Drosophila melanogaster: one gene and its partner. The protein of the gene in region 2 interacts with the protein of the main gene of each other region in a biochemical or structural test. Each region holds a gene or a part of one and is shown on either strand. Other genes may lie near its edges.

The links.
Region 1: the proteins of Lar (region 2) and nerfin-2 form a complex in vitro, tested with the Drosophila melanogaster proteins (one study listed by BioGRID).

The regions. Positions count from the first base shown.
Region 1 is NT_033777.3:10,069,492-10,074,514, forward strand, and holds nerfin-2 (nervous fingers 2), read left to right. Parts: upstream 1-1,625; 5' UTR 1,626-1,683; coding exon 1,684-3,156; intron 3,157-3,216; coding exon 3,217-3,407; intron 3,408-3,538; coding exon 3,539-3,962; coding exon of another isoform or gene 3,963-4,202; 3' UTR 4,203-4,270; downstream 4,271-5,023. Other genes in the region: Alp13 (alkaline phosphatase 13), read right to left, coding at 4,369-4,463, 4,531-5,023.
Region 2 is NT_033779.5:19,604,427-19,609,619, reverse strand, and holds the start of Lar (Leukocyte-antigen-related-like), read right to left. Parts: upstream 3,052-5,193; 5' UTR 2,539-3,051; intron 1-2,538. UniProt on the Drosophila melanogaster protein: Possible cell adhesion receptor. It possesses an intrinsic protein tyrosine phosphatase activity (PTPase). It controls motor axon guidance. In the developing eye, has a role in normal axonal targeting of the R7 photoreceptor, where it negatively regulates bdl.

The DNA of each region.
Region 1 (5,023 bases), on a different chromosome or scaffold from region 2:
AGTTCGTAATTTAATTTCAGTTTATTAGTCGGAATTGTTTTTGACTCTGCTGCAGCGCACGAGCCTGTTTTCCGATGGCGTCGCGACGCAACAATTTAATTAGATTTTTGTAGACCGTTTCTTTAATTAATTGCATTCAGCTGCAATTAAAGGCAGGTCTGGATATCGAAAGATAACTCGAGTGTCAGACTTTTACTATCGATTTGCCAGTATAAATCACGTTATGTTATAATTTTTATAAAATGGAATATTTATTAAAATTTATCTTAAGTCTCACTATTATATTATTTTAAAGACATTTACAATTTATATAGAAAACTAAAAGAACGTTCTTAGCATGCTGTATAAAATTTTACGTGTTTGAAGCCCTGGCTTAATTCCATTGATTTACCTAATTTTTTGGCCAAAAGCTGACGCCATTTTGAAAATTCACTTGAATCGCCAGAGGGGAGCTGCATTAAATTTTCAAAACCACAAAAAGAATCCTTTGGTTCTTAAAATGTCTGAACAACGCTGACCATGATGATGATGCCAGGGGGAGTAAAAGAACAGAACTCTGGCCGATGGAAGGTACATGGGTCTGGGAACAAAAGGTGCACTCACCTGTCAACGCCCCAAGCACAAACACCATTTACACCACTCCACACCCCACAGCTAGCCACCCACAAAAGTCATGTGGAATGGGTGGCTTAAACTCCAACGTAGTGCAATGAAATTCTTCATCTACAATTCAATGACATTCCATTCTGGGCTTTGGACGGGGCGTGGCAAGTTGCAGGACGCTGCCAATAAGCGTGCCCCCAGTGGAGCAACAGATGATACATTTATGCAGCGCCCCCTCGTGGGCCTGCATCAGGGGGCGTGGCTGCGCATGCGCCTACCGTGCGCGTGGGTGAATCGGGGGTGGGATGGTCGAGCTATGTCATCCGCCCGGCGAATCCCAGAGCAGGCCGCTCAGGATTCCGCCGCAAGGTGCGAGCGAGAGCCGTACATCCACATCCCGTTCAATAATGCGGGTGTCCAGTGGATGAGAGAGGGTGGTTGGGTGGCTGGGTGGTGGTTACTGCCTTTCATTGGCTTCGCATTCAAACCCAATTTCAGCTAGCAGCATTGCGACAGGTGACCGTCCGCCGTTCAGTTCTCTTTGAAGCCTGCCGCGGGTCAGTTGCGTGTCACGGAAAACCCTTAAGTTAACTGCATAGACCTTGGGCTAACCAAACAGTTTTCAGTGATTCCCGATTAAAGTTGAATATCTAACGAAATTTTTGAAATTGTGCAAAATACACATTGAATATTTGAAACAAGAGCAAGCCAACAAAAAATGATGTGAAGTGCTACACTTAAAAACACAATAAATACGACGATAGTTAAAAAATAAATTATCAAAGTGCATTAAGTAATCAAACATATCAAGTGTTAGATGAAGCAAAAGGTACATTTTTAGAATAGTTGATGTTTTATTAAAAATTTAATTTTATAATTAAATACCCATTTTATATATATATTTATATATATATATTGGATTTACTATTTATTTGAGAAACTTTATTTAAGTTAACTTCAAAGCCCAAAGCCCAATACTATAACACTTGACACTTTATTGTGCAAGAATAGGAGTGATTACTGACTTCAAATGAAATACCAGAAAGTTGACGTTACAACGCAATAGAAAAGGGGAGAAAAATGATGAACATGAATCCGCCGACGCACCCGCACCCGCACCATCACCCACATCCTCATCCACACCCACAACCGCAGTCCCATCTCCAGTCGGTGCAGCATCTTGGCCAGCATCAGCCACTGCCCGCCCTGCTCCAGGGCCACCCAGACACCACTCACTTCGTCGAGTGTCGGGCATTACCAGCAATCAACGAGACATTTCCGCAATTTGGCCAGCATCGTCCGGCTATTTCGCTGCTCTCCCCCTTGGATCTTTCATTGCGCGCCGCGGCCAGTGTAGTGCCAATTACTCCACCCTCAACGCCCTCGCCGCCTCGCAAGCGCCAGAGATTAATGTCCGAGGAGAATTACCTGTGGCGTCCGCACATGGCGAGTCCTGCAGCTCCAGCTCCAGTTGTTCCGTCGAGCCTGGCAATGCAGCCGGGCTACTTTCATCATCATCAGCAGCAGCAACATCAACTACCACACCAGCAACATCATCAGCCATATGCCACACGCAGCAGCTTGGAGGGCGCTTCCTTTAATAAAAGTCATTTTCACGGGACGAAAAATAACTTTGAGCAAATTCCGGCGGGTCAATCGAGCGTCAGCTCGCCCATCTACGTGGAAGATGAGACCATTGTGCTGACCGAGGACGAGGATGAAACAGTTGTCAGTTCCCATGACTACAATGAGTACGCCACGGACACGGAGGAAGTCAACGAGGGCGACGATGAGACGCAGCAGGTACAAGTCAGCGTTAATGGCGACGATGATGAGGAAGAGGTGTTTGTCGATGTCCTGGGCAGTGACGATGACGAGGATGAGGCGACGGACCTGGTGGCCACAAGATTGCAGGCCCAACTAATAGAGACCACGGCCCTGAAACGCAATGAACTTCTGTATGAGGATGAGGAGCTGCACAACCAGGCGGTAAATGGTTTGGCCAGACTCTTTGACCGGGATTTTCCAGAGCCAGATGTGGAGGTTTCCGGTTTGGCGGAACTCCAGAGCAACAGCGGGAAGACATACACGGATCTGAGTGGCGTGGCAACGGCGGAGATTAGGACTACCAGTTCCGACAACCTTCCACCGCCTCCTCCACCTCCTCCGCCTCCAGCGACTTCTACAATCCCTGCTACACCTCCACTTCCGCCTCCACCCATATCTCGACCCCACAAGGCGGAACGTAGGAGGTCGAAGCTACGAAAACACATGGCCATCGATGAGGAGACCATAAGTCCAGTTTCTGGCACCATCATTCGCAAATTGCGCGACGACGAGGAGCTGGTGGTGCGCAAAGGCGACATTGATCCGGCTTTTAACGTGGTCGAAATCACCGAGGAGGCCAAGGCCATCCTGGCCAGCATTGACAACAAGATTGGAGACTACATGTGCCAGCTCTGTCGCACTGTCTACGATGATGCCTTTATGTTGGCCCAGCACCGTTGTCCCCGCATCGTTCACATCGAGTACAAGTGCTCCGAGTGCGAAAAGGTTTGTGGTCCGAAGGAAGGATTCGCTTTCCAGGCAACTAAAACACTTTTTCCTTTGCAGGTCTTTAATTGCCCGGCCAACTTGGCCTCCCATCGCAGATGGCACAAGCCCAAAGCGGAGGCGGCTGGAGTTAATCCCGCCAAGAAACGAGTTGTGGAAACGGGCGATCTGGTACAGGAGGCGACTAGGAGCGGCGATGATGCCAGCGATGGCATTTATCCTTGCCATATATGCGGAAAGACTTTTCGACGGTGAGTTAGTAAGACTTTCGGAAAAAAACTATACAATTTAATTAGTTATTTGGTATTTAAAAAAGTTGAAATTTTAAATATTTTTAAGCAGTTAATTTGAAATGTTTATATTTATTTTCCACAAACAACAGTCAAGCTTACCTAAAGAAACACCAGGCCTCCCATCAGATGTTGGATAATCTCAAGAATCTGGATTTCTTCAAGTCCCAGCAGCAGCAGTTGACCATCAATGGCCACCAATTGGCCGATCATGTCCAGCTGCAGCATACAACTGGACAGGCGGTCACATCTGCCGCTCCCTATGCATCCTTGCCACGCCCACCGCCTGGCATGCCCATGTACCCGCCGCCAAGTGGTAAGAACTATCCGGGTGGACAACGCTTTCCGGGATTTCCCTTTCAGTCATTCGATCAGCGTCGATTCTACTCTCTTGGGGAATTTTACCTATCGCAGCACTTGGAACGATCCTCGGCCTTCCAATACGTGCAGGCCAATCACCTGAGGCAACTGTCCAATGTGGCCCAAACTTTGATGCCTCCTCTGCCCGTCAAATGACCCAATCCGAATACGAATGTCCTGCGGCCGGTGCCACGCATTGCGGCAACAGCGACGGCAACGGGACCTCCAGCGGCAGCAACAGCAACAAGGCAAGCGGCAACTGCCGCAGGAGTGTCCTCCGTTGGCCACGCCTTTAATTGGGTGGCTCCGTCGACCGCAGGTGCAACTGCAACGGGAAGTGCAACTGCAACTGCCACGGCGACGACTGCAGAGTCCGGCGGAAATGTTATCATGTGACTTAACAACTATTAGCAGCATTGAATCAACGATCTCTAGTTAAAGTTTAATAAATCAATCAAATTATAAGGACGTCTTTTATTCGGGCTGACAGCTAAAGAAATTTTATTTAAACACATTTCATTTTACCTAAACATTTTTATTACATATACATGTGAATAGTATTCTAAGGTCGAACTCTACTTCTGCTAAGGACATGGGATATTGCATGTGCCAGAAAGGTTTCTTTTCGAACACCTTGAAAAATTGAGGACTTGGGGCCTTGAAATAGTTATTAATAAATAAAATTAATAAATATAACTAGGATACCGTAGAATAGGTTACTCACCCTGTGCAAAAAGTAAGCTTTCAGATGGCATTTGGTGCAGTCGTTTTTGGATCTCAGATTCCGCCTCATTAAATATCTCCGGAAGAAGGCTGATTGTCTCGGTTTCTTCGCTGACATCCAGGCTTGGTTTTGGATAAATGGCATTGGTCATTAAAACAAGAGTTAAAGTATCCTGATCTTTGTGAAGATTAACCAAAGTATCATTCAAAAGCTGCAACTGCTCTCTTTTGTCAATACCCGATGGTATAAATTGCTCCACTATGAGTAGATATCCTTGTTTATATTTAGTAAGAACATTCAAAGACTTATCGACCATCAATTTTAGACTTGGGGCCTTTGAATTACCACTCAAATCTCCATTGGCCATCACACCCATTAAATAATCAAAACTACTAGAATTTAGGGACTCCAGCTCATCCCTTCGCTGAATCAAATCGAATATTATTCGATTAATTTTGCTCTCCTTAAGTTTTTGGTTTCTCCAATCCTTTAG
Region 2 (5,193 bases):
GCGAAATCACGAGAATCACGACTGCAGGTAGGTCCGTGGCATATGTACGTATGCATGTTTTTGCGTCCATCTCCGTATATATATATATATATGTATGTATGTATGTATATGTATGCACTTGTAAAAATCAATTAAACTTTTCAAGTGAAGTTATAATGGCTGGCAACCCTTTCGAGCACTCACACTCATTTTTCTGCTTGATTTTTTGCGGACTTTCGACTTTCCCCTACATACATACATACACATATATTGTTTTTGTTGCCTCTGGCTGTTCAGTCAGTTTCTTATTGTTTTCATAGCCTTGCAACGCCTTGTTGTTGCAGTTGTCAAAAGTTTTAAAATAATTGGATTTTTTTCGGTCTCCATGTGCGAACGAGTGAGTGAGTGAGAGCACTGTGAGCACAGAACACGAACATCGGAATGTCGACGACTGCAGCCGAAAAAAAGGAGAGAGAGAGGTGGTGGAAAATGGAGGTATTGCCGCCCCCAAACTCATTCTATATAAATTAAAATTTCTTTGTTGCAAACCCCTTCGCGTTCACACACACACACACACCGACATCCAGACACAGGAGGGTACTTAATGCAGGATTGCTGCAGTCATCCAACCAACGCCATCATCACGAGTATTACCCAATTTCCAGCTGAAGTTTTCAACACCAAATTGTAAACGTCAACAACAAGCGGCGAAAAAGAAGAGTGGGCGTGGCCGATCAGCCGCCTTTATATAGCCAACGATGGCATGACGAACGAATGGTAAAACGCTGTTTGAACAGTGAGAATGGAAGGTGGGGGGGGGGGGGGTGCCCATTGAAGTACTAGTCCTTTTGCTTTGGCTCCAACTGAGGCCCATAGGGCTAATGGGAGTGGGGATAGTTCGAGTCGCTGTGAAATGCAAAGAGCAAATTAAGCCCCCTCTCATTTATCAATATCAATCCATCCATCTATATATATATATATATCTAGCTACTGTTTTCATTCAATAGGAGCAACCACATGTTAATATAATAAACAAGTTACATAGTAATTTCAACTTGGTCAGCACCTAATTAACCCCAAGCCCTGCGAACGATGTATCAAGCGATATAATTTCAATTAGGCTAATGTAAGCCATAGAATAGCCTATAGTTTTTAACAACCATATCCTACGATTTTCGATTCTGTTTCTGCCAAAGAAAGTAGCCCTTACCACTTGTGAAGCCTACTTTGGGTATTCGTTATACATGGCGTATGCGTATTATTTTACACTGGCGCAGAAAAAACGTTTTTGTTTCAAACCTCATTTCAAGTTTGGATCGAAAAAGGAATGAAAGGAAAAATTTTTACTTCGCCCCTTCGTCGGCAATTTTTCTCCTTTCTGCTTCTGCTTCTAATAAAAACACTTGACACCAAAAACGAGGAAAGTTCCTTGAGGCAAGTGGTGAAAGACATTTTAGGTTGAGTTGTGTTGTACGAGTTTCTACAACGAAAATATTAAATACTTGTCAAAACACTTGGAAAGGCTTTTTTTCAGAATATTTACTTTTATAAGTTTTATTGAGAATTTACTCAAAAATAATATTTTATACTAGAGAATTGAGCAGAAGGCTCTGAATAAGGAACTCGCTTGAAAATATTGAATAGCAGATAATGTCAATTGAAAAATGCTTCATTTTGAGAACAGCTTTAAGCATTAGTAAACATTTTGGCTTTAAAACAACCTATATATATAGAATCTTATTTAGCTTTGCAAGGCCAGGCCAAACTTAAATTTTCTTGAGCTCTTGCCAAGAACTTCCCATTACTTGCCGAGGACATAACTATGTCAATCTGCAGACCCACACTCACACAGGACACACACTGCAGTCCTTTTTTCGCCTTAGCTGAAAATCACTTCGCAGCTGGTCCTAAAACGATTTTAGGCCGCTCCAATCACAAACACACACTCTCGGCACACCCGAATCGGAAGGCAGCGAAAACATCAGCCACAACAATCCTTGCAGGACGCAGCGTTATTTTCGCACCAAACTGCAGGAAACCCCGCCAGGACCTCAATCGAAAAAGAACTGTGAAAAATTGCCAACCGTTTCGCTTTGAGGCCAAAAGGAGCGGGCCGAAAAAAGAGCTGCTCGCTCGTAAAACTGCAAATGAAAATAGATAAAAAGTATCTGTCGTCCCAACCAGTAAACTTCATTTTGTAAATCAATTGAATTTTCAATTGTGTGCGAGCAAACTAAACCAAACCAAACCAAACCACGACGAAACGACGGAGCACAAAAAGAAAAAGTAGGTAAACATAAAAGGACAAATAAAGGAAACGACACTATTACGGAAGAAAGGATGGGGAGACCGAAGGAATCCCCTTCTCCCCGGGGCAATCGTTTCAATCTCCATCTCGAGCAGCGGCACAGGATTGCCGTTTCTTATTAGCAGGGCCAGGACGATAAGGATAAAGTCCATATATATATCGATATTCATAAGGAAATTCCAGGTCACACGCACACACCACACACCAGGCTTCTGATAATTTTCAGAGTTTGTTTTCTCTTTAGATTTTACCGATTTATCCGCCAGGTATTATCGGCTACGTCAGTTGTTCTTCGGTAATTATGTTTCGCGGAAGTTCCTCGCCTGCAACTCGGATGGTGTAATTATGGGAATAATTTTTTAACCGGCTTGCGGCAAAACACGTTCACAAAAACAAGTGCACACATATGTACGAGTACAGCGGCAACAACGAGTTAATGGAGAAAGGGTTGAAGGGGGTTGAACCGAGGCAAGCCGAGGAGTTCGACGATTTGGTTTTTGGTTAACTTGGCTAAAATCACTTTGCCGGATTTTCGAAATGCTGCGGCTCTTTGCTATTGCATTATAACCGAGTACGATCTGTGGTTATGTTATATCACTCGAAATTGGATTCAAACGATTCGTTGGATTTTTTGCGAATTTTGTGTAATATACAATTTGCTGTCGCGCTGCTTGTTGCCCGATTATCGCACACACACGGCTGAGAAGGACGCGCTCTGTTTCTTACACGCTCGTTACATCCTGCCAAATCCCGAAATTGTACTAAATACGTACAAAACTTTTACGATTGGCTAAGGCTGCTAGCAGCAATGCTCGTGTTTTCCTCGCGTTCAGTGTGTGCGTTTGTGAGTCGCCACTCGACCCGAAGAGTCCTTCAGCGTGCCCGAGGATGCGCCGACCGAGCGCCGAGTGTGGTGGATTTTTCCGGAGAGCGGAAAAGCCGAGAAATTCGCCAGCCGAAGCTGCGAGCGATGGAAGAGAAACACCAAAGGATGGCTACTCAAAAGGAACTCACTTTGTACTCAGAACTCAATCGAATAGACAAACCATTCTGGGAAATGTTAAGAGCACACAAATCGGAGTGATTCTAAATAGCATTCAAAAATCACTCAGTTTAAAATGTTATGGAACAGTTGAGTGCAAGGAATATTTGATAAAATAACATAAAATAAATTTGAAAAAAATGTAAAATAAACTGAGAGGAATTACGAAACATCATTTTTAGCATGAGTTTCAAAAAATATTTTATATTTAATATAAAATTGGGATTTTCTTTAGCATTATAAAAATTATTATTTAATTCTTATAAATGTATGGGAATGGTAAATCCAGTTTACACTGCTCGCTCGATTCGAGCTAATTTATTTAACATTGAGATAATCACTGAGTGCTTTTATAGCAAAACCAGCAATGTTTCTCTTAGAGTGAAGTGCTTGCTGGGTAATAACATTTATAGCTCAACTAAAAAGGACTCGAATTGCAGACGCAAAGAGTACAGGCTTATATGAGAAATGTAAACGCATTTTAAATGCTCAAAGGCAACAAAACAGACTCACTCAATTTCGAGATTCGAGACCTGCGAGGCTTAGAACATGAAACCAAAGAGAAGCAAATCTGCGATTAAGGCAACTCAATCCTTCTCAGCAAGGACTTGCTCGAAGAGAGCCTGGTGAGATGGCTAAACGAGCTTTCGACGTGGGTGAATCGGAAAGGTTCGGCTTTTAGGCGCCGAGCCCGTCGACGAAGGTGAAAAGCGAATCGCGTCCACGAAAAGCCCGCCATTGACTTTGACCGTCGTTCGCCAGTCGTCAGTTTCAACTGGAGCGGCGGGCAGTAAGCTGAAATCGGCTGAAAGGACGAGCTGGCAGGATATTTCGCAGAAGGGCGAACCAGCGCAGTGCCGAGCAGGAAAAGGCGAGAAACGGCCTGTGCTAATTTTCCTGGCTAGCTAGATTTTTGGCGCGCTCCAGATTTAATCCTGCAGTCTAAGTGAATGTGAAATGTAACAAGCCAAGTGACAGTTACCAAAAGTCAGAAGACAAAAGGAAGGGAGGAAAGCTAAAAGGCAGAAAGCCACCGAACAGATGGAAACAACTCGCAGATGCTGATGTTCCTGCCCCAGGAGACATTTAACATAATAAAAACGAACGTGTGCGGCATTTTGTGTTGCCTTTTGGCCAAGTTAACTCCTGTTCCTGCATCTGTGTGTGTGTGTGTGTGTGTTCGTTACATGCTAATATCACAGACACTCGCCCGCGCACAACCCACACAAACTTACAAACAAACAATATTGCAAATGTGTGCGTGAGGCAGTTGGCCAAAGTGTCGTAAATCGTTTAGACAGCGCGACGTGGCCCAGAAAAAGGAGATGAGGGCCAAAAAACGATATGTAAACGACACAGCAGTCGCCGTGGGAAAAACTGGGAAACGCCAACAGAAAAAGCCAAGGAAACGAAGGATCCGACAATGAACTGCATTTGTTGCTCATGTGAGTATCCCGCCTCAAAGAAATTATCTCTTTTTTTTTTTTGTTTTGTTACTTCTCCGACTTCCTTACTTATGTATTACTTTTATGCGGCTTTAACGTGAAACAATTGGAGTGGTTGGCGTGTCATAACAAAATTTTATGTGCGATTTCTTTTTCTGTGAGTGCGTTCGCCCATAATGCCACCAAAGTAAAGGCGCTACGGAGAATTCAATAAAAATCCACACAATAAGTGCAATCAGGAGTGATAAGCATAAAAATCAAGATAATTAAATTCAGTTAGGTCCATATAAACAAGGCACATATGTATATTAATGTGTTTCCCATCGTATTAAAAATTAAATGTACAAAAGTATTCAGTTAAAGTGGAAATATCTTGCTGCATAGTTTAAAACATCTTTATGATGACAACAGAATGAGGA